Oreochromis niloticus: one gene and its partners. The protein of the gene in region 3 purifies or fractionates together with the protein of the main gene of each other region. This does not show direct contact. Links are inferred from orthologs where the notes say so. Each region holds a gene or a part of one and is shown on either strand. Other genes may lie near its edges.

Evidence for each region. The genes of interacting proteins can lie anywhere in the genome.
Region 1: the proteins of yap1 (region 3) and wwp1 purify together in Homo sapiens (affinity purification with mass spectrometry; 3 studies listed by BioGRID, with this or other methods). This does not show direct contact. The link is inferred for Oreochromis niloticus from reciprocal best matches to the Homo sapiens genes YAP1 and WWP1.
Region 2: the proteins of yap1 (region 3) and rps28 purify together in Homo sapiens (affinity purification with mass spectrometry, with the first as the bait; 3 studies listed by BioGRID). This does not show direct contact. The link is inferred for Oreochromis niloticus from reciprocal best matches to the Homo sapiens genes YAP1 and RPS28.

The regions. Positions count from the first base shown.
Region 1 is NC_031974.2:27,338,070-27,345,439, reverse strand, and holds the start of wwp1 (NEDD4-like E3 ubiquitin-protein ligase WWP1), read right to left. Parts: upstream 3,016-7,370; 5' UTR 2,784-3,015; intron 1-2,783. UniProt on the Homo sapiens protein: E3 ubiquitin-protein ligase which accepts ubiquitin from an E2 ubiquitin-conjugating enzyme in the form of a thioester and then directly transfers the ubiquitin to targeted substrates.
Region 2 is NC_031982.2:11,422,620-11,429,902, reverse strand, and holds rps28 (small ribosomal subunit protein eS28), read right to left. Parts: upstream 3,016-7,283; 5' UTR 2,928-3,015; coding exon 2,889-2,927; intron 2,581-2,888; coding exon 2,533-2,580; intron 1,023-2,532; coding exon 900-1,022; 3' UTR 880-899; intron 226-879; 3' UTR 106-225; downstream 1-105. Other genes in the region: si:rp71-39b20.4 (potassium voltage-gated channel subfamily V member 2), read left to right, coding at 4,122-4,648, 4,747-5,380, 5,890-6,015. UniProt on the Homo sapiens protein: Component of the small ribosomal subunit. The ribosome is a large ribonucleoprotein complex responsible for the synthesis of proteins in the cell. Part of the small subunit (SSU) processome, first precursor of the small eukaryotic ribosomal subunit.
Region 3 is NC_031979.2:32,236,357-32,243,380, reverse strand, and holds the start of yap1 (transcriptional coactivator YAP1), read left to right. Parts: upstream 1-4,009; 5' UTR 4,010-4,542; coding exon 4,543-4,743; intron 4,744-5,888; coding exon 5,889-6,124; intron 6,125-7,024. Other genes in the region: cep126 (centrosomal protein of 126 kDa), read left to right, coding at 1-42, 136-219. UniProt on the Homo sapiens protein: Transcriptional regulator with dual roles as a coactivator and corepressor. Critical downstream regulatory target in the Hippo signaling pathway, crucial for organ size control and tumor suppression by restricting proliferation and promoting apoptosis.

The sequences.
Region 1 (7,370 bases), on a different chromosome or scaffold from region 3:
GCCCAAGGACATTTGGCATGCAGGGGGAGGAGCCAGGGATCGAACCACCAACCTTCTGATCAGTAGATGACCTACCCTACCTCCTGAGATACAGCCACCCCAAGTCAGGGGTTATGTCAGGTATTGATTAAAGTGGGACCTGTGAGGGTTACTACTAAACAGCATCTCTGAGCAAGAAATATGGAAACAGAGTGGTATTTATACAGCGGTGTTTGACTCCTAAACACCAAGGTTGAAAGAGGATCATAACTCAATAGCTGATTTAATATTGCAATTAAATTTGTTTTCTGAAATACAATTTAAACATTTTTAACAGCTCAGAGTTACTGACAATCTGAAAATTGTTAGTTGCCCAACTAATACACACCCAAGGACTTTGGCTTATCGTGTTTACAGATACCTGTTTTGAACCTGTTCAATACCTGCTTGGAGGGGTTTAACAGCAAGTCTAGGGGACAATTAATATTTTATTTGTAGGATCTGGATTCTTGGGTAACACCAGATGAATTCACAGTTATTAAAAAAACCTATAAAACCATAAAAAACACAGGACCTTTAATCTTAGGTTCACTTCAGTTTTCTTTGTTTTGCTCGAGGACTGCTTATCTGTTTTAATATGCTGGCTGCCAGCAGGGTTAGCACAGGGTTAGATTTGCCTACAAAACAAGAGTAACGTGCTTACTGCTGGACATGCATTTTGTATTTTGTGATGATTGTCTGATCATGTTCCTGCTTTATTCCAAAGGTTGCAAAGGAGAGGCTGGCTAACAAAAAAATCTGCTTCACAGCAGACAACTTGTTTCTGTAAGTGTACACCTTTGTGTGTAAAAATCCAAGACAAATCCTTTCTCACACCACCTGTCAAACAAGCTTTGCTGTCTGTTCTAATGGACTGTCCGTCTTCCTGTGACCTAATGACGCACATAACAGTTTATACATAGACACACATGCCCGCTGTACTACAGCTGTCTATAGAACACATCCGGGCAGACCATGAACAGGACTGAAGCATAAATGCATATAAAGTATATTTAAATGTTTAAAAGTCCTGAAGCTGAATAACTATTGTTTTTAACCTGACACCGACTGACATGGTTATTTTTTTTATTTATTACTTACTTGGGTTATTTTTATGTTTGTTCTCTTTATTTTAATTTTTAACTAATGTAGCAGGAATTTCCTAACTTTAAGACAAATACAGTAAATCTTATCTTTATCCAAAATAATAAGACGGTGATTATTCTTACGCTACCCCATACCCTAAAAGCTCTTTAAAGTTTCTTTAGTCCAGCTCTCTTTTATTTTGCCAGACTTAAAAAAAAACTCTCACATGGGCAAAACACACAAGCTTTACACAATGGTAGCAGGCTACAACTCCTAATTTCACCCACAGCTGCTTTCCTGCTTTTCAAAAGGTCAGTGTCTTTGCAAGTGAGTGAGAGCACAAAAACAAGCATATTTTAGAGCCAGCAGGCAAATAATGCTGCCTTAACAGACACTTTACTCTAAGTAATTTCCTTCCAATGTGGCACTAGCATACACAGCATGTGATAGCCTAAATACTAAACCACTGTTCATGACAGAGAGACAGCAAGACACTAAGAATCCTGAAATACAATAGCAGATACTGTATAAACATAAACCTGCATCAGCCACTCAAACAAACACAGCCATGAAAGACCATTTCTCTTTGAGACCAAGCCTGTCCAGAAAAGGGAAATGTAAGGCAACTGGGCCTAATCAGTACTGACAGGGATTCTCATCAGGTGTTAGCGGAGCCCACATAAATATGGTCTCTCTTACTCTGTCTCTGCTCAGAATTTCGTCTTTAAAGCTAGAGACCCTGAAAGTGTTACATGTTCAACTCACTATTCATTGGATAACTCAAGTTGGAGCAACACTAAAATAAACAGCTGTGGCTCAAGGGTCAGGCTCACATTCACCTGTGCCAAGCACTGTCTACGACCCGAGAAACACCCAAAGGCTAGAAATGTCAACACGTTTAAAAGTTGAAGGGTAACATATCATTTCCTTTCACGAGCAAAAGTTTGGTAATCAGTCACATGGATTAATGGATAATAAAGCAGAAGATTGATTCCACTTTGACACAATTCGCAGGCCATACGCTAGCAATGCTTAATTTACATATTAAATACTGATCATAACACACAAACTCAGGTACAGTTATCGAACAGCGGCTAACTTTGGGGTAATCTACTGACTGCTAGCATTAGCTTACAAAGTGTAACTTAATAGGCAGCTACTGGCCTTGGGACACTTAACCTCCTAAATCTATTTGCAACACACATACGTACAATAAGTGCAGATACTCCCGGTGACAACCTTTAAATGTGTAGCAGTACTAGTCTGTAACTAGCTATCAATAAGGTAGCCAGCTAGCTACAGTTAAAAAAAAGCAAAACAATTTTAGTCTTGTGAAAGTAGCTTAACGCTAGGTGACTATCCTTTCTACTGTGTGTATAATATCCATCTGACAAACCAAGAGGTGATAACGGGCACATAACTAAAAACGTAGCGTGTTTGCTTAATCTACATCTGCATATTGTTATAACGTTACAGCAGACGCTAGCTAGGTGAGCCAAGTTAGCTGCTCGCTAGCCGGCTATCTGACTAACTTACTTAGCATCTGGGCTAATTGTCCGCCATCACAAAGCTAGCCAGTTCGGCTGCATATAAAATACAGGCTTATCAAGAAATACTATTTAAACACTCGGAGAACGTCTTTCTAAATGCTTTAAGTGACATTAGCAGGGGTGTTTTACCTTGTTCGCTGTTCCTCTACTTTCCTACACTCTGTATCTTTGCTGTGTGCTAACGCAACGGTTGTCAGTAAAATCCTCAGCCGAGCAGGCCCCTCAGTCTGCTACGGCTCTCTTGCCATCTCTGTACAGAAGCCTATGACTAGCAAAACACACGGGCGACAGGCGCGCCACCCCAGTAGATACTAGTGGAAAAGGGGTAATACTGCCGTGTAATAAGTCGGGGCACGAAACAGGCTTACTGCTATACACTGCACATTTATTACTTTTATGTAGTCTAAACGGAAACTCTTAACTAAAATATTCGGTTCGTCATGATCCAATTTATTAATAAAATCCAAACTTTTGTTTTTCCTTTTAAAATATTCTTTGTTTGTTTGTTTAATCTCAAAACTTATTTATTTTTACATTTCACGTTACTGAACGTTGTAGGCAATGTTGACTGAAAGTCCCGTTTCCCGTTTACTTAACCAATTTTACCAGAAAAATGATGTAGGGGGGTGTGCGTCCCAACTAGGTCCCCCATAAATCTGTCGGGCACCGATACATTAGGAACGAAAACTAGGCCGATTTGTGGTAATTGAATGTGTTGATGTAATGTAACCTCATATTACCTGATGCTTTTTAAAAATATATTTGTAGTTTTTAAAGTTTAGAAAATAAAAATATTTAAAAGAAAGAAGAAAGATACACGATTAGATGTGTTACTAGTGTTCACCTTTACCTGCCTTGTTGTTGATCTGTAAGACCATTAGAGACTGATTTCAACTTGTGATTGTTAACCAGATTTTCTGAAAGAGACTCACTGTGTCTGACATACTGTTTCTAACTTTACATATTTTTCCCCAAGTGTAGCAAATTTCCTAATTCTTTCAGCCACTTATCAAACATTGGAGTTGTCTCAGACTTCCTAGACTGGAGCAGAATTTTTCCTGCTAACACTGTGGATAGAGCTTCTTCATGATGTGTAACCTGCTTGAGTCTACCACCCCAAATAATGCTTTAAGAGGGGCAAAGGGGCACTCCAAATTAAAAACCTTGGTGAAGAAATCAAATAAGTGATTCTAGAAAATCTATAATCTTTTGAGAACCTCATCTGTGCAAGTCTTTGGAAGACTGAATTGTATCAGAGTGTGCAAAGAATTTATATAGATGCTGTGAATATTTGCCACAACATTTTTCCCACACATGCTCAGTGCCTAGTTCTTCCTGCCAGTGTGTCCTGATGCTTATTTTTTTATCATTTTAAAATACAGAGTACATTCAGATTCTGGAGCCAGCTTTATTTTGTAAAAAACAAAACAAACAAACAAAAAAATACTGCAGTGACTTATAATTAACACGTTATTTTCCACATATTAAAGAGAAACTTATACAGACACATTTCAGACCCTTGCTGGTGTTGTTTACAGAGGATCTGCTGCTCTTTTTCATGTGTGTGGTTGATGATTTACAAAATCTTACAGTAATGAATGTTATATTAAATTGTCTGGAAAAATCAAAAGTTTTCTATATTTTACATAGAGATATTGATGGTTGTTTAATGGGACGTCTCGTGGGATTGAGGTCTCTTTTTTGCTAAATGTTTGGAGCACAAAAAAGTAAAAATAAAATACAATAAAATGAAATAAAATTCAGAAAAGCTTGCAGTCATTATACAGGAACAACAGCTCACAGGGTATAACACAAGATGCACGTACAAGAATCATAAAAGTTTTTGTCAGTTATGTTCGAGTATCGAAGTTACCCACTGAACAGTCCACAGATACAGATGGTAAACTGGGACAAAATCGAAAGGCTAAAAAGCTTTGTTATCCAACAGAAATGTAAAAGTATTCTGTGGGTTTAACTAGTTGGTATGTGTACTTGTCTTGGAGTCTCTAATGTCAAATTTTCAGACTCTTCTTAAGAACATTCGTTACAAGATTTGTGAAGGTTTTCTTGGGATTTAAATTGACTATTCCCCGTTTGATATGATGCAGAATTGACTCCAAGCTGCCCAAACCTAAAATGACGACAGATCTCAGTACTGTGCTTAATACACTTAATAACAGTTCTTCTACTAAGATCTGTTGCCTTTTGTCTATACCAAATATTGCAACTGTTAATTTGCACAAATAATGTCAAATGATGTAGTCAATATCATTTTTAAAGCAAATTAAAGCAAGGCTTTCTTTAAAATTATGTTAAAAGGAAGTTTTGAAAGCCTTGAACTCCAAAACCTAGACATGAATTAAAATAAAGATACAGGACCTAAATTAGTGGTGAAGTTTCTTTTTGAAAATTAAAGATTCTTCATTTGGGTAAAAATAAAAGTTTGAATTAAAAAATACGTCTCAATGTTTAAGTTTTTACAATTTCTTTTTTGAGGAAGTATTTGGAGGACATGAACTGGAAGGGGTGTTTTTTTTTTCAGAATTATATTAAAGATGATGCTGTGTTGGTGGTCGCTCAGTATTATTGATCAACTATTATAACGAACCTCAGTCTGTACTGTTTTTTGTTAGTAGGCACATGGAAGTAAAAATCCTAATTATCTGTTTCCTAATTTCGAATAGCATTTGAGTCAAGGGGATGCTTTTGAGCTTAAAATGATTGACTAATTAACAAATAATCCTAAAATAAAAACTGCTGTTCTGTGGCAGGCAGATGGGTGTAATTCCAGGAAGAGTGCAGATGTAATTGATGACACTGTTATTGAATTGTGTGGTCCTGGTATGGTGCATGCTGGACTCCTGGTGTGGATGACATTTAAACTGAATAAATGATGTTATGAGAATCATTAGAACTGTAATCATCACACATCCATCTCTCAAGTGAACAGCTCATCTCAGTCTGCAAAAATAATGGAGACTTATTACAATGACAGGTCCAAAACCTTCCAGGGTTACTACATTTGTGACCCTCATTTGTTGGTGAGCCAGAGGCCACAGAAAACTCTGTAATCTTACATGAATTATTTGCAGGTGGGTACGTCAGTTTAAATGAAATACATAAAATAGTATCGCAAATGGCCCAGTGAGTAAAATCACTGTCTAACCTGTTTGAAAAATAATTTTTAGAGTAAACAAGAACAACTGCAATCTTAAAACTTGAATCAATTTACACAACTGTTAATAAAAAGGGAAGTCTTTAAAAAAAAAGTTATTACACTCTTAAAATTTAATTAATCTAAATTTTTTTAATGCATTTAGTCAGTCTACTGTCATTACACACATTATCACTGAAAGAGCAAAGGGGTGCCACAAAGACACAAAAACTTCACATGTGTAATGTAATAAAAAAAATAGCGTTTTAACAACTTTATGTTTCTAACAAATTGCTGAGATCTAGAAATTGTTCTTGGCATCATCACACTGTGAAAGATGGTTCATTTTACAATAGGAGCCATATGTTTGAGACCCATACTCTAAACCTGTTTTGTCCTCACAACTGCATTGTTATATTGGGCCCACAAAAATAATGAAATAAATAATTCTTCAGAACATGGAAATGTTCCTGGATGTGTGCCACTGGACTTATTTCCAACAGACAACAAAATATGCAGCTCCAGAAAAGGTGAACCCATGTGAACTTGACAGGGTAAGATAAGCAATCTAAGAAAGCTTGATCTACAATCAACAGGCAATTTCATGATTGGGGACATGTATAGGATTTACCACAAAGTGCAAATGCCTGGTTACACTCAAGAAGGACAGTTTGACCTTTGTCAGAAAGCATCTAAATGAGTGCACAGTTTGGACAAAAAATATTGTATAGAAGAAAAACAGATTAACTTGTACCAGAATGGCAGGAGGAGCAAAGCATAGAGACAGAGGGAAACAGCTCATGATCTGCAGCATACCACATAAGTTCGCCAGCATACCTGGCGAACTTATGGCATGGACATTTATGGCAGTGGAACTGTGTTTCTATTGATAATGTCAATGCTGCTGTTTGTAGCAGGGTTAATTGTCAAGTGCAAAGGATTATATTCTCTACTCAGATTCAGCCCATTACTGCAAAAATATTGATTGGATATAACTACGCAGTGCATATGGATAACGATTTCAATTTGTGGACATCAGCTTTTAACCAGTGCCAGCAGATTTTTGAAGGGCTTACATATCTCAGATATCATCCATCCATCCATCCATCCAGACACATAATCGCTCCAGTATATAGTATATAGATAGTCCAGATATCCCACATCAACTGGCTCTTTCAAATGTGGAGGTGCAGCAGCTCTGAGCCCCTCACAATCAAAATCTTTATCCTCTCTGTAATTGTGAACGAGATACCCTTCAGAGGAAGCTCATTTCTGCACCTTGTATCCAAGATTATATTCTTTCTGGTAGTATCTGTAGTTTGTGGCTATAGTTGAGGGTAGAAAAGCATTGTTTAGTAATTTGACAGCTTTGCCTTAACACTCAGCTCCTTCTTTATCACAACAGACCGATAGAGGACCGAGATTACATCAGATGCTGTTCCAGCCTGTCTGTCAATCTCCTGCTCCACTCTCCCCCTGCCCATGAACAAGACCACAAGTTACTTCAACTCATCAAATTCAGCTGATCAAGAGACCAACTAGGTCTGTAAATAACCAATACT
Region 2 (7,283 bases), on a different chromosome or scaffold from region 3:
TAATGAGTCATTGCTAGTCTCAGGCAAGTTTATGATGGCAGGCTAATATACGAGTTTATTAAAGAACAAATCACACTTAGTATAAAAGAAAGAAGACTTCAAGGATCATTTTCAACTCAAATTTATTTCAAAACATCTGAACAAGCGGTGGGTAGTCCACTGAAAGTGACTGCATCCTGCTGTAGTTGATGCTCCACAGTGTTGGATTGGCAGCTTCAGTAGGCACTGTGAAGACAGAAAAAGTGAAAAAGGGAGAAGGGTTTAAGCCTGTGTTTAAGTCTCATACATTCCCAAATTCAGAACACTGATAACACTCTGAACTGAGCAGCATTAGACATGAGCAGCCTATCGGGAGGACTAAAGAATTCAAACTTCAACCTCTGACCACCACAGGACTGAAAACACTCAATCTTTGTGCAGCTCTGTTACACTTTAACTAGATAAGAGCTTCAGACTAGTGGCCCAGATGCAATTATGACCTAATATTGCAGATATTTGTATTGAGAACTTAGCATTAGGTTGAGTTTAAGACTCATTATGGACATTTCAAAGCCAAAAACAGATTGCCCTGCAATATCATTTACTGCAAGCCATTTTTAATGTTTTTTTCTAACCTTATAAGGTTATATAAGGAATATAAATATTCCTATAGTACATGTTAGTACTATGGGAATATCTTTAACTTTTGTTAACTATATTACAATGGAAAACATTGTCATCACCTCACCTGCAGTGTTTTATCATCCTAAACTGTTCTTGGTTCACTACGTTTTTAATAATAATAATGTTCAGGATCATCAAAGTGCATATTATCCATCAGCACTCTCACTGTGGGCTTCACCAATGCTGACAAGTTTAATGACTCAAAACACTGATCACCTGAGGTTACATGGTCTCACCTATCGCAGCCTCCTGGCTTCTCTTTCAGACTCCAGGAGTGTCAGCACATCTCCCTCTCTGACCGGGCCCTTCACGTTCCTGATGATTGAGCGGTTGCTGTCGTCCATGAACTCAACACGGACCTGGTGGGAAACGGGACCACCCAAAATTTAAATATTAAAATGACTCTACAGCAGACATTTTTCCTCATTTTGTTTTTGTCATGCATCCCTATTTATGTGGCAAGGGAGCAAAGCAATCTTAATTTAAAAATATTTTAAAACTATATTCATTTTGAAATTTTTCAGCTGTTTAAACTATCCAGTTAACACAGAAAATAAATCAGTGGTCATGATCATCAATTTATAGCACAATACCTAAAAATTTATTTTTTGGCATTTTTTAAAAAGTTATTTTTATAATCTGCTTTTTTTTGGGGGGGATCCCTGCTGTTTCTCTGTTTCTCAGAAAACAGTATCTGAGGATCTTACTCTGCAATGCTGTAAAAGCCATCAAGTGAACAACACAAGTGAACGCACATTTTAGTAATAAAGTAAATAGTTAGTGGGCAACACAGTGGTACAGCAGTTTGAATAATCGAAGTATAAATACATGTATTTTAGGTTAACTATAGTCCCCTTTTCCACTAGTACCTACTCAGATTGACTTGGTGATGCTCTCATCACGCCACTGACCAGCCAATCAGTGGCATGCAGTCTGGTGATGCAACATTTTAGTACCTGCTCGGACTGCTTTGGAACCCCGGCCGAGCAGGTAGTGTGACCTAATGGAAAACCCCGAAAACGTTACGAATCAATCCAAGTAGGTACTAAGAGAAAAGGGGCTTAAGTTTGCTATAGATATGAATGTAACATAAATTGCTATCATTAGCCCAAGTAACCGGTACACCCCCACGCTACCCTAAATGACAACTGAGATAAGCTAAGTGGGGGGGACAAAAAAATGGATGAATGAATGCATTAATACATTTTAAAGATAAATCTAGTTTCTCTATTAAACGTGGTTTCCAGTTAGGATCAGTGGCTTGCCTAAGTATGTCATTAGTAGTTAAAATCCAGTTTAAAATTTTGTCCCCCCAAAATAACCTGCCTTATTTCTGGTACAAGAAATCAGGCGAGTCATATTTTGTAGCTTAATCAGTTTTTCATCTTAAACTTTTGATAATAATTCACTCTAGTTTCAGTTAGTTGGTACAGTGGATCTGCCCAGTTTCAGCGTTAGTGACTTTAGTTATAGCACTATGGAGGATATTTATCACCAGCAAAAAATTAAGTTCAGATCAAGTTTTTTTTTGTTTTGTTTCTAAAGAAACAAAAAACGTGACTTGCAGCTAAAGAAAATGTCCAAATTTCAAACAGCCGCCTCATTACATTCTCATAATTAATGTGTAGACAAATTATGTATGACAAAACTAAACTCTTACATTTTCCATCCTAGCCCTTTTTGTATCGTTTCAGGTATTTTTACCTTGATTTATTAATTTAGTTTTTATTTTCACATGAATTTACAGCCCTAGATTGCGTATATCCTTGGCAGTAACTCAAAGTAAGCTTAAACGTATAAAAGGCAAACATTAATCGCAGACATGGTTTGTCCCGGACAAAATTTGAGGTGTTAGCCAAACTAGCATACCTGTGTACATTGTCCCTGGGAACCGGTTCTCCCGAGAACCTTGGTGACCTGAAAATAAAAACACGAGAAACATGAACATCAAATCTCTAAAATCAATATAATACACACATATATATTTAACGAACATAGAGAATCCATAAAACTAAGCATCACGAAAGTACTGCGGCAGCTAGCAGAGACTATAGCATCGACAGGCCTCCATGATAGAAGCACGAGAGCCAAAGAGACGTTTGCTAACTACGACACAAAAAATGGATTTAGCCTAAAAATTTTGAGCCCATTTGAAACAATACTTATTATTGTAGGTATCTAAGTGCTTTATATAATCATTTTCAGCGTTTTATAGATTTTCTTACTCTTGCAAGCTTGATGGGCTGCACGCGGCTGGCGTCCATGTTGTCAGGCTAGACCGGAAAGGAAGTCACGTGGTGCACGGATGGTATATATGGCAACTGTAATTTCTCAGTTTAATTAAATTTTTAATTTTAAATTATTTTTAAATCAAATTACAAGTAAAAGAATATAAACATATGAGTAATAACAACAATACCGAAATTTAATAAAAACTTTTATACATTCGTAGTTACCTCCTTTTCCGGTAGATTGGGAAATACCATTCGAAGCAGCCATGGTAAAAACCTGGGCCAAACCATTATTCACAGAGTTTACAAAACTATTTTAATGTGCAGAAACAGAGAAAGGGATTTGTCTCTGTGTAAATGTATCTTTGTTTTGTGCGTACATACAGACAATTCAAATACTGAGTTACTGGACTAACTACAAATGCTTGGGATGTCAGTCATAAAACACAGCCTATTTATCCAAAGTCAGTATCAAAAAGGTTACTGATTCAGTACATCATTAAATACATTCAGTGTTATATAATGTATATTTTGGTTTTAGTTGGCTTGAGTTAATATTAAAATGAATACTTTGTCAGTTATACCAGTGAGTTATTGTAAAGAGAAACACATCAGTAATAAACAGTGATTTTGTTGTGGAGCCTTACAATACAGTTAAGGGTCTATGCAGAATATACAGAAAACAAAGACATTTTTTATCAGTTATTATTAGTTTTAATGTATTTAACCTTTAATTCTAAAATCAGGCTTGTTGAACTAGTTCAGCAATAGGTCAAAAAGGCCATAGCTGATAGTTTGTGTAATCTACCTGAATATCCTGTGTAAAACCTCTCTGTAGCCTTGTTAGCCATGCAATACTGTCATGACACTGCCCTCTCTGGCTTTCTTCCTCTCTCAGAAGTCAAAGCCTTAAATCACAACACTAATCCTTGTGAACAGTATTTTTAACTTGCGCTGGGACAGAAAGAACAGCAATAGGATTAGAGAATCAGTGAAGAGGCTGAAGCCCTAACTCATGCAGTTGATCTTCTTGCACAGTGACTGAAAAGTACCACAGCTCTTTCTTTGTCTTTATTTCAACCTGGAGGATTTTTTTTAAACCATGGTGATATTTTGCTTGATGTTGTAGATTTAAAGAAAAAATATATGATCATTTTTGTCCAGTGACTTGATTCAAACTTGGCACAAGACATTTTCCACTGATTTATCTTCTGAGAAGCTGTCGCAATGGAGAAGTGGAAAATTCTAAAAAAACGTCGCTCCAGTCTTTTTGCATCTGTAAAACGCGATGCGAGTTTCACGCACAGCATCGAAGAGGAGGAGAGTGAATTCCCCTTTTCACAGGACAGCTCAGTAAAACCATGGACATCTATGGACAACCTTGACACTCCTGGTGACAGAAAAGAGGTGAAAAAAGATGAGAAGAAGGATGCACCAAACCCCTGGCAATCAAACATTGTCAACCTAAATGTGGGCGGAAAGGTGTTTCACATCCCTAAACACTTGGTCCTCCGATACCCAAAGACCAGGATCGGAGTCCTTGCTCTGTGCAATGATCCAGTTAAGCGTCTGACGCTCTGTGACGATTATAATGTTCAGAACAACGAGTTCTTCTTTGACAGGGACCCCATGTTTTTCCATTACATATTTCACTTTTACTGCAGTAATGTTCTGTGGGTGATGGATAGCCTGTGTCCTGTCAACTTTGAGGAAGAGATCTCATTCTGGGGGCTCAAACTGAAGGATACTCCAAGGTGCGCTGTAGATATTTGATATGCACTGTATCTATTGTGGCTTTGTCTGTGGGTATTTAAAAAGTAGCTATGGTAAAGCATTTGTCTGTCTTTCTCAGGTGCTGCCGCATTCTGTTTGAGGAGAAACTGGACGACATCAGAGAACACCTGAAGGTTAACCAGGAGCTCATTGATGAGATTAAACCTCACCATGATGACGAGGGCTACAAGACCATGTTTCTTGGAGACTTTCGTAAAGCACTTTGGGACTTGATGGAGAATCCTTACTCCTCACTGTCAGCCAAAGCCTTTGCAGTGTTTTCCAGTCTCTTTGTGCTTATCTCTATCGTTGCCATGACTCTGAATACAGTCCAAGAACTTAGGCAGTACAAACTTGCAGGCAAAACCTACATGGAGTGGGTGGAGGTTAGTTCTATCCTTTTCTTCACGTTGGAGTACTTTCTGCGACTACTCACCACATCAAACATCAAGCATTTTGTGAAGAGCGCCCTCAACTTTGTCGATTTGGTAGCCGTCATGCCCTACTTCCTCCAGATCATTTTTGAGACTTTTGTGTTAGACTCTGAAGACATCAGTGCTCAGGAGGATTTGAAGGCCATGTCGAGAGTCAGCAAAGTCAGCAAGGTGCTCAAAGTGGTCAAGCTCATGCGCATCTTCCGTATCTTGAAGCTTGCCCGTCACTCCACCGGCATGAGGGCCTTTGGCTTCACCATCCGCCAGTGCTCTGAACAGGTATGAAGGGAATAAACAACAAACACAAATGCTGGTAACATCTGAAGGCCTTTGAATAACATGGCAACTCGTAAGTAAGGCTCTGAAGAGACATACGAGGAACAGGAGGTAGTTTTATGTGAAAGTCACCACTAGGAGAAGAGAAGTGGAGAAGAAGTTTATGATAGTGTTACAACAGGATATCACAATCTATTTAAATGTGCATATTTTATTTCTTGAAGAGAGAGCTTCAAGAGCCTATGATAAAGAACAAAATCCACCTACCAGCAGCTCTAAACTTCACTAATGTAACATAATATCACATTTATTAATTTTGCATATCGTGTGTTTAAAAGCGATTAATTGAACAAAGCTTACACAGCCCGTCGAGTGCAGAAATGTCAGGAAGGCTTTATAGTAACATCTCAAATTGTCATATTACTGGATGCAAGCCCCTAAAATAGTAACTGCTTTATAGTTTCATATAAACAAGCGCTGTCGTTGACGTGCTCTGTTCTGTCGTGCTGCAGGTGTGCTGTCTGTTTCTCTTCATCGCCATGGGCATCTTCACCTTCTCTGCTCTGATGCATTCTGTGGAGGTGGATCAGCCCGGGACACCTTTCAGCAGCATACCGGATGCCTGGTGGTGGGCTGCGGTGAGTACGGGACAAGCTCTACGTCCAGTAAAGTTCTATTATGTTTGGGATGCTTGCTACAAATGCAGTATAGCCAAAACATCAGATTTGGTTTTTTGTGTCTTTTAGTGATTTCTATAAAAGTTTTAGCTTTCTGGGAATTATTTCTTCTTTTTAATGGCAGCTGTGATGATTTTGTAAATTATTTTTGAAAATATTTTCAAGTCCAATTTTTAGGTCCAGCCACACTGATGATGTAACCCTACTTATAACACCACAGTTGCTCCACATCTTTTCATTATGAATGGGGCAATTAATGTTTTACAGCATTTAGAGCGTGTAGCCGGCTCTTACCGGCTGCCACTCAGCTTCTTCCGGATCAATTAACTCAGTTATGAAGCTTGGTAAGCTCTTCCTCTTGACAGCGCTGAAGGGAAGCTCAGTTGGGGTGTGTCAGTATGATCAAGCAGTGCAGTGCATTTCGGGTGTCAGGGATTAGGTCTATCTGGATTTGTGCTGCCTGCTTAGTCAGACCAAGACAAAGATTCACAGTACAGATCATGTTCTGTGCTATTTTTATGCTTTTAAAATGCAGTAAACACTGATTATATTCAAGAGCTCAAACACAGTCTTCTTTAGTGAATTAATGGTTGGCTAAATAATATTCTGAAATTGTCTCTCTTGCAGAAAAACTTACTAACTATAATAAATGTAGGATTTGCCTTTGTGTAATTCTTACCCAAAGTATCTTCCATAATTGGTACTATATCTGACATGAAGAGAAAGGTGTGGAGCAACTCCAGGGTCACATAAACTTGATATAAATTATCTAGCCTATACAGATGTGGAGAATGGCTACTGGTGGCCACCAAGCTGTCATATGGTTAAACAGTAACTTATGCTGAGCACTCTTCTGATTGAGTTCATTGTCTGGATGCCACAATATATGTTCACTCATGTGTGTATAATAGAAACCCAAATTTGCTTTCAAGCTTCATATATAAACGATCAATGTTTAGAGGTATGAACATCACACCATTTCTAGGAAGTTTCACATGGGTCACACTGTGTCACCAGCCTGGTACTCTGTGTGTCTTTCAGTATCATCTGAGGACATGGTTTTCATTTATCTGGTGGCAGCTGTGAATTTATACGTGTCTAATTCCCTCTAATGCTGCGTAATGCGTCTCATTTGTAGCCAGACAGAGTGATTGAATTCAAGAAATATAAAATGTAGCACTACTTTCCTGGAAGGTTTTTTGAGCCTATTTATTCCAAACTTCCAAAAT
Region 3 (7,024 bases):
AATACTAGCATGCATGGTCTTGTACTTAGTGATGCACCCTATGTAAGTATTTAGCAGGGATTTATTTCTTTCCTCAACAGAAAGGGTGACTTTGTTGAAGATAATTCATTCCTTAACTTCTGTCTCCATTTTCAGACAAGAGAAGTGAAAGCATCAAACCATAACAAACACTGTGGATCCTCAGCTAACAATCACTCTCGATACCACAAGAAGTCCTGACTTGAAGCTTGTGTTCGCCACAGCAGTCTTGAGCCCTCATCGGTGCACATTATGCTGAAACATGTTGTTGAAACAAGCACTTATTACCCCGCAAAAGGAATTTTTACAAAGTGTGTCTTTTCAAGTAACTAAGGATCTGAAATATAAACAGCCTTGAATTGCAAAGACAAAAAAACCCCATATCAGCAGCCTTAGAGCGCACGTAGCACATGGTCATAAAAGAAAAACAATTTTAAGATACTGATTATCAAGCAATTTAAGTCTGAAGTGCCTATGTAAATGAGAAAGGCTTTAATCTGTTTTTATGTTAAAAAATGCAAAGATGCTCTTGTTTCAATCAACACATGACCAGCCCTGACTACAAAATATACAAACACTATCAAATTGTATATGTTAAATGTTTAAAGTTGCACCACTCTGTATTTATTTTGTATAGTAACACTATGATTTGCTGGACTGTTTTGCAACTATATCAGCAGTGAAGTGAATAAATCTTGTTGTCAGTTTGCTGATAAACTCTGTGTTTGGCAGTGTTACAATCAGTGAATTGACCAAGGCCTGGAAATGGTTTATGAAAAGACGTTTTGCAGCGTTGAAGGTGTGTTCGTCTTTCTTTTATGGCTGTGGAACAGATGATTATGGCTACTAGACTCAACCTACTGGCTCAGCAAGCCAAGCCTCTACCAAAGAGGTTTCCACAGGTTTCTCTTAAGATTGCACCTATGCTGAATTTTATTTTTGCTTTAAGGCTTAATTTATTTAATATTGCCCTCAATCTATAGCAACATCAAAAGACAAAGGATGGTATTATTTGATACTAGTTGTTGTTTAAAGTGTATTTAATTAAAAACTTCTCTGTCTTCCTCGGCAAACAATAGGTGCATTGGGGGAAGACGCTGTAGGGATTATTGATGTGAGCTGCCCCTCCTTCTCCGGCGTGTCTGGGTTTGTCCCTCTGTCAGCCTGCTAGGACTTGTTCCAAGAGCTGAAGGAAGCCCAAGCTCATCTGAACAATGATGGGACTTTTTTATAGCTTAACTGCAGGTTTCTTTGGTGCTCCAAGAAGGAGCTATAAACAGTAATGTGACAATGGTGTCTCATTGCCACATCGAGTCGTGCATCACCTCCTTGTTAGCTTACACCAAACCTGAGAACAGCAACAGAGGGAGACAATGTATTCATTTTTAGCATATGATTATGCCCACAACAGCAGACGCACTTTGACTCATTATATGTGAAGAGATTCTCCAGTGAAACATACAAATTGTCCAATGTGGTTAATTGACAATGAGCATCAGTGTTATTTCTACCCAGTGTGCATGAGACGATTATAAAGGGAAGAAAACTACTTTTATCTGAACTGATGAATGCTGATATTTAACATATTTGAGTCCTACCTATTAACAAGAAACTGTCTAGTAATAATACTTGGACTGCCCCAATAAAAAACAACAACAACATAGGCACGCACACAAATAAACACAATCATGTAGATTAAGTGTTCATGTTCAGATAAATCACTGAAATTCTGAATATTCTGCTGTAGGTTTGCCCTGAAATCAGTTCCGTTTGGCTTGGCACCATTATTGTTCACAGTCATTATGCTATACAATGGTGAGTGTAATGAGCTTTAAGCCTTAACCAGCACAACACCCAGAAACTGAACAAGAAAAGGCAAGAGTGCTGAAAATAAGGGGAGACATTTTCACAGATGCAAGTTCAAACTTGTGCTTTGGTCTGTTGTGAAGCTTAAGCTGTCAAGTATTTTGTCTTCTTTTGTTACAGTCCATTTAACACGCAATGAATGAGTGTCTGGAAAAGCAATATTGCATGCAACGAAAAATGACTGAAACAAACCTTGACTTCTGAATCTGAATATCTTTTGTAATCAAACAATATGCACATGGATGGGAGGTTGGAAATTAAGCTTTACATGTTTAGATCAAATTTGTAATGATAACAATGGCTTAAAAGCTCAGAAAATGAGTGATAGCTAAGATTTATGCATAAAACTGAAAGACTGTAGACAATAAAAAACGTTAAAGTTGACATGCAGTATATCATTTTCATTTATTATTGACTGTATTGTACGTGGTTAGTTCATGTTTAAAGGAAGTCAGAAAGGAAGGGATAGACGCTGCAATAGTTTGGGATAAATACCGATTGTACACTGCAGGGGGCGTGCGAGCCTTCTACTCACTTGACTATAGCAACGGTGTGTCAACATATCTGTAATAGCCAAACAGAAGAGCAAAGCGCTTTACACAAAGTGGACTCATGCAGCTACACTGTAGATCACAGGTTGATTCTGGTTTATAGCGGCCATATAATCGTTTCTAGTAATATCCAATCGAGAGCAGTGAGGAGGATGGAAGGCTGACAAAAAGTGACCAAACTCGGCGTGGTGGGTGGTCCTCTTGGCGCTGCCGGGACACTGCAGTCCATCTCTTTAATGTGTCTGACTGCGTTACAATGATGTAAAAATGGCCACTTTCATTGAAACAATTGCCATTTTTTGACTGGCAGCATGTGTGCAAAGACTGTTTCCTTCATTCATCAAATTAGAGCGACTTTTAAAACAATAATCAAGTATTTCACATATATTAAAAGTTTTCTCACTGTCAGTATTTTACTAATCATTTATTAGACACATCGAAGTTTAGCAGGACAAACATGAATTCCTATCAGTACACTAGTATGGTGGATTACAGCGATGTTAAATGTTTCTAAGATTTTGAAGGTACAGCTTTGTTAAAAAGTATTATCTGTCCAAAAGCATGTGGCTTGTGACTATCAGTCTGTTAAGGAGGTTTACAGTGTCTGTGGATATTTAATAGATCTTCATAATGATGCATTCAGTGGATGTATGGGAAAAGCTGAAACAGAGCCTCTATATCCAAAGAGGGTGGATCTTGACAAAATGATTTCTCAATGGGAGAGGGGCCGCATTAGCATAACAATTGTGGGAACTGCATGGGTCTACTTTTCATGAGCACTGTAACAAAAAAAAGAGAGTGAGAGAAAGACAAAACTGTACTATTACACATAGTGATGATAGTTTTTTTTTTGTTATCTTTGCTCAGATTCTTGGAAAAGTGTTTATCTATATTGTGTCATAATGCTATAAATAAATCCTGCAAAGAAAAATGTGATCTGCCAGTGTTGCTTTAGTCAGATTTTCCGTTTGCAAATGCAATTTATTGTAAGTTATTATGAGCTTTAAGTTCAATATGAATTTGATTTTCGTTTTCTTATTTGTCCTTTAATTTCTTGTTTTTACACTAGAAAACTTTGGTAACTTTGAAAAAAAAAAAACATGTACAAAGTTGTACAAGAAAATGTCACTTTATAGCATCAAATTTGAGTTTAATTTGGTTACATTGCTGTGTTCATTCATTTTCAGTGCATCTGCAAGTTAGTTTAATGAAACTTCCTATATAGTAGTTTCTTTTTCTACGCTGCATTCAGATTTGGGCTAGCAAATGGGCCATAATTTATAAGGTGTTGCCCTGATTGTCCAGTCGAAGATTACATAAACTGTAAAGGATATTACAGTTCCATTTGCTGTCAAAATAAGTAGATGTTAACTTTAAAAGTTGTGACATGTTTTATCAAAAACGTATCTTTTGGCACATAATATTTTACTTTTAATTTCACACGTTATTTAAATTGGGGAAGGTGCCCGCTAATAAAGGGCTTGGCTTTTTCACAGTCTACCTTTAAACGCTCTTGTCCCAATCGGAGCCGTAAGTCCCGCCCTTTATTGGTCATTACGTCACTGGCGTCATAAAGTTTGATGTCTCCTCTCCAAAGTTTAGATCCGACTGGGGCTAAACTTTTTTTTTTTTTTTCTAGAAAGTGAGCTGCGGAGATTTGTACTGCTCACTATGAGCCTTGCTTAAAAGAATATCAACAACAGCTTGGACTTGGCCCGACACTCAGAAAAAGTTGGACTCTTTCACTCAACCGTTTGTGGTGTTTTTTCGTCTTTTGTGGCTGCATCTGCGTTTTTTGGGGGGACGAGAGCATAAATTCCAATGTGGAGTTTATGCGCTTTGTTACGTTAACAAGTATGCCAGCAGGAAACAACAGGAAAAGGCTGTCTTTCATTGCAGATTTCGACAGCTAACACACTTTGGAAGAATATCAAGTGCTCGACTTGTAAAGTTTAGAATGACTCCGAATAACTTTTACTGAGTGTCGTCGAGATTTTCAGATTTCTCCCGGCGTGGAAAAAAAAGTTTGGGATTGACTCACGTTTATTTTTTAACTTCCGAAGCCTAACTTTTTTGGGACATAAAGTTCGAAGACTGTTTTGGGACAATGGATCCGAGCCAGCACAACCCTCCTGCCGGACACCAAATCGTCCATGTACGGGGCGACTCTGAGACTGACCTAGAGGCGCTTTTTAACGCCGTGATGAACCCGAAAGTCAATACCGTGCCCCACTCTGTGCCCATGAGGATGAGGAAACTGCCAGACTCCTTCTTCAAACCACCAGAACCAAAGTCTCATTCCAGACAAGTAAGCCCGCCCTGGTTTTTACTGTGCCCGTACTCAGAAATCACGACTAAAAATCAGGGCCCATCTTGTCGAGCTTCGGCCTTCTGGAGCTACGTGACTGGCACTTAGTTAATAGTTACTTCATCCTTCTTCAGTGCCATTTTTAGCCTTCAGCGTTATTGTTTTATTGGTCAGTCATCTTTGAACACACTTTTTTTTTTAAAGTCTTTAAGATATAATAACTTTATTCAGGCGGACTCGTATTGACATGCTTAAATGAGTGTGCATTTCCATTGATGGGTTGTTTTTTTCCCCCCCTCAAATTTCTATTTAACACATTGCACAGCAAAAAAACAAAACAAAACATTAAAACAGTAAAGGCCGTGAGGGCTTTATAAAACGGCGGAAACATTCTCTTACAGTCTTTGGCCGTAAGTAACCAAGAAAACCGATGAATATTGCTTAGCTTAGAATAAATTGTGAATAGATAAGTGACCATGTAAAAACAATAAGGGATGGTTTGGTTAATAATTCATGTATAGCTATTTGCAGACGGATAACCGTCATGTTCGCATCATCTTAAATTTTCTTTCTAATCCGACTTTTTTATGTAAACAACTTGATTTGCTGACAGGAAATCATATGATGGTTAAATTATCCTATATTCACCCACAGCCCCTCCCCGATCCCTTCTTCCATTTCCAGCACTTCCAAGTTACCGGTCGCTCCCCATAACGCTGAGGATTTTTTGTACTAGTGCGCATGCGTGTTGGTGGCGGGCCCTGGATGCCTCCCACACCCGAATAAGTCAAAAACATGCCTTCACATGCACATGAATAGAATTTATATACACTTTAAAGTGATTATGAATTATAAGGAGTGACTCAAATATTAAATGGGTAGAAATTATTTAGACTACTACACAAGGTCATTAAATTAAGACTGTTCTGTTTTTCGTTTCTTAATCCATTATTGCACTTGTATTTGAAACGAACAAAGCCACATATATTTTTTTTATTCTTTCATAAATGTTTAGTTTGTGTTTACATTTTCGTATTGCCTTTTTTAATTATTACATGATAATTGATGTTTTGAAGTAAGGATTTTCACTCAAACTCCCCACAGAAAACTGACTCAGCTCTTGTTGTCTCTCAACCCCAACACAGGCCAGCACCGATGCTGGGAGTGGCGGAGTGCTCATCCCTCACCATGTCCGTGCACACTCATCCCCTGCTTCCTTGCAGTTAGGAGCTGTTTCTGGTGGCTCACTGTCTGGCATGGGCTCAACAGGGGCCTCTCCTCAACATCTTCGTCAGTCTTCTTATGAGATTCCTGATGACATGCCCCTACCAGATGGGTGGGAGATGGCCAAGACTGCCTCTGGCCAGAGATACTTCCTCAAGTATGTATGCTGCCATGAAGTGCATCATACAGTTTGTAAAAGTCTCAAAATGCTTGCAACCTGAAATGTTTTGAAAAGTCAGTGATATTCATTACATTACATTTTAATACCATCACAATCACAGGTTCAAAGTTTTTAGTTTGTCACAATGAAAGTTACCAAAGAATTGGTCTTGTGACAGGTCTCTATAGAGACCTCTGTACTACAAAGCAGGATTTAATCTTATCTGGGTAACTTCTGGATTACCTCTGAAGTTTAACCCTTAACCCTAACCTGCTCCGGAACAGGTTAGGTTCCTGATTAGAGATCAGCAGGTATGAAATCACCGCCTACTGACCAGGCAGTTTGTTGGAAACTGGCATCACCCTTCCTGAAAAATCCCACTGTGGGTAGAGTAGATGGTTTTTCAGTAGTGTCTAAAGTCTTTGTGTTAACCTGTTGAGCATCAGTGATAAATATAAATTCATTCCCATGTTGTCAGCAACAATCTATTCTTTGATAAGTGTTAGTCAGTAATATATGATCCTAAAACAGGACACCTATACTGCACTTTCTAACCTAATTTCAAATTTGTACATAGACTAAGCCTATATTTGAATTCTGTTGTTGTATTTTAACTTAATCTTAAATACTTAAAAGACACAGCAGCTGTAACTGTTTTATGCAAATTTGAAAATGATTGGAATACTTGATAACAGCTCATCAGGTTCTCCAATGTCTTAAGGGGATATTTTTATCGATTAACTCACACAAGTGGCTACACTTTAATAATAGCTTTCTAACCAAAGTGGATACAAATACTTACATCATTTATGTAACCTCTTCATATTTTTCTAATTTTAAAGTTTACTCTTCCTTTGTAAAATCAGCTTCTAGTACACTAATCAGTGTGATTGGTCA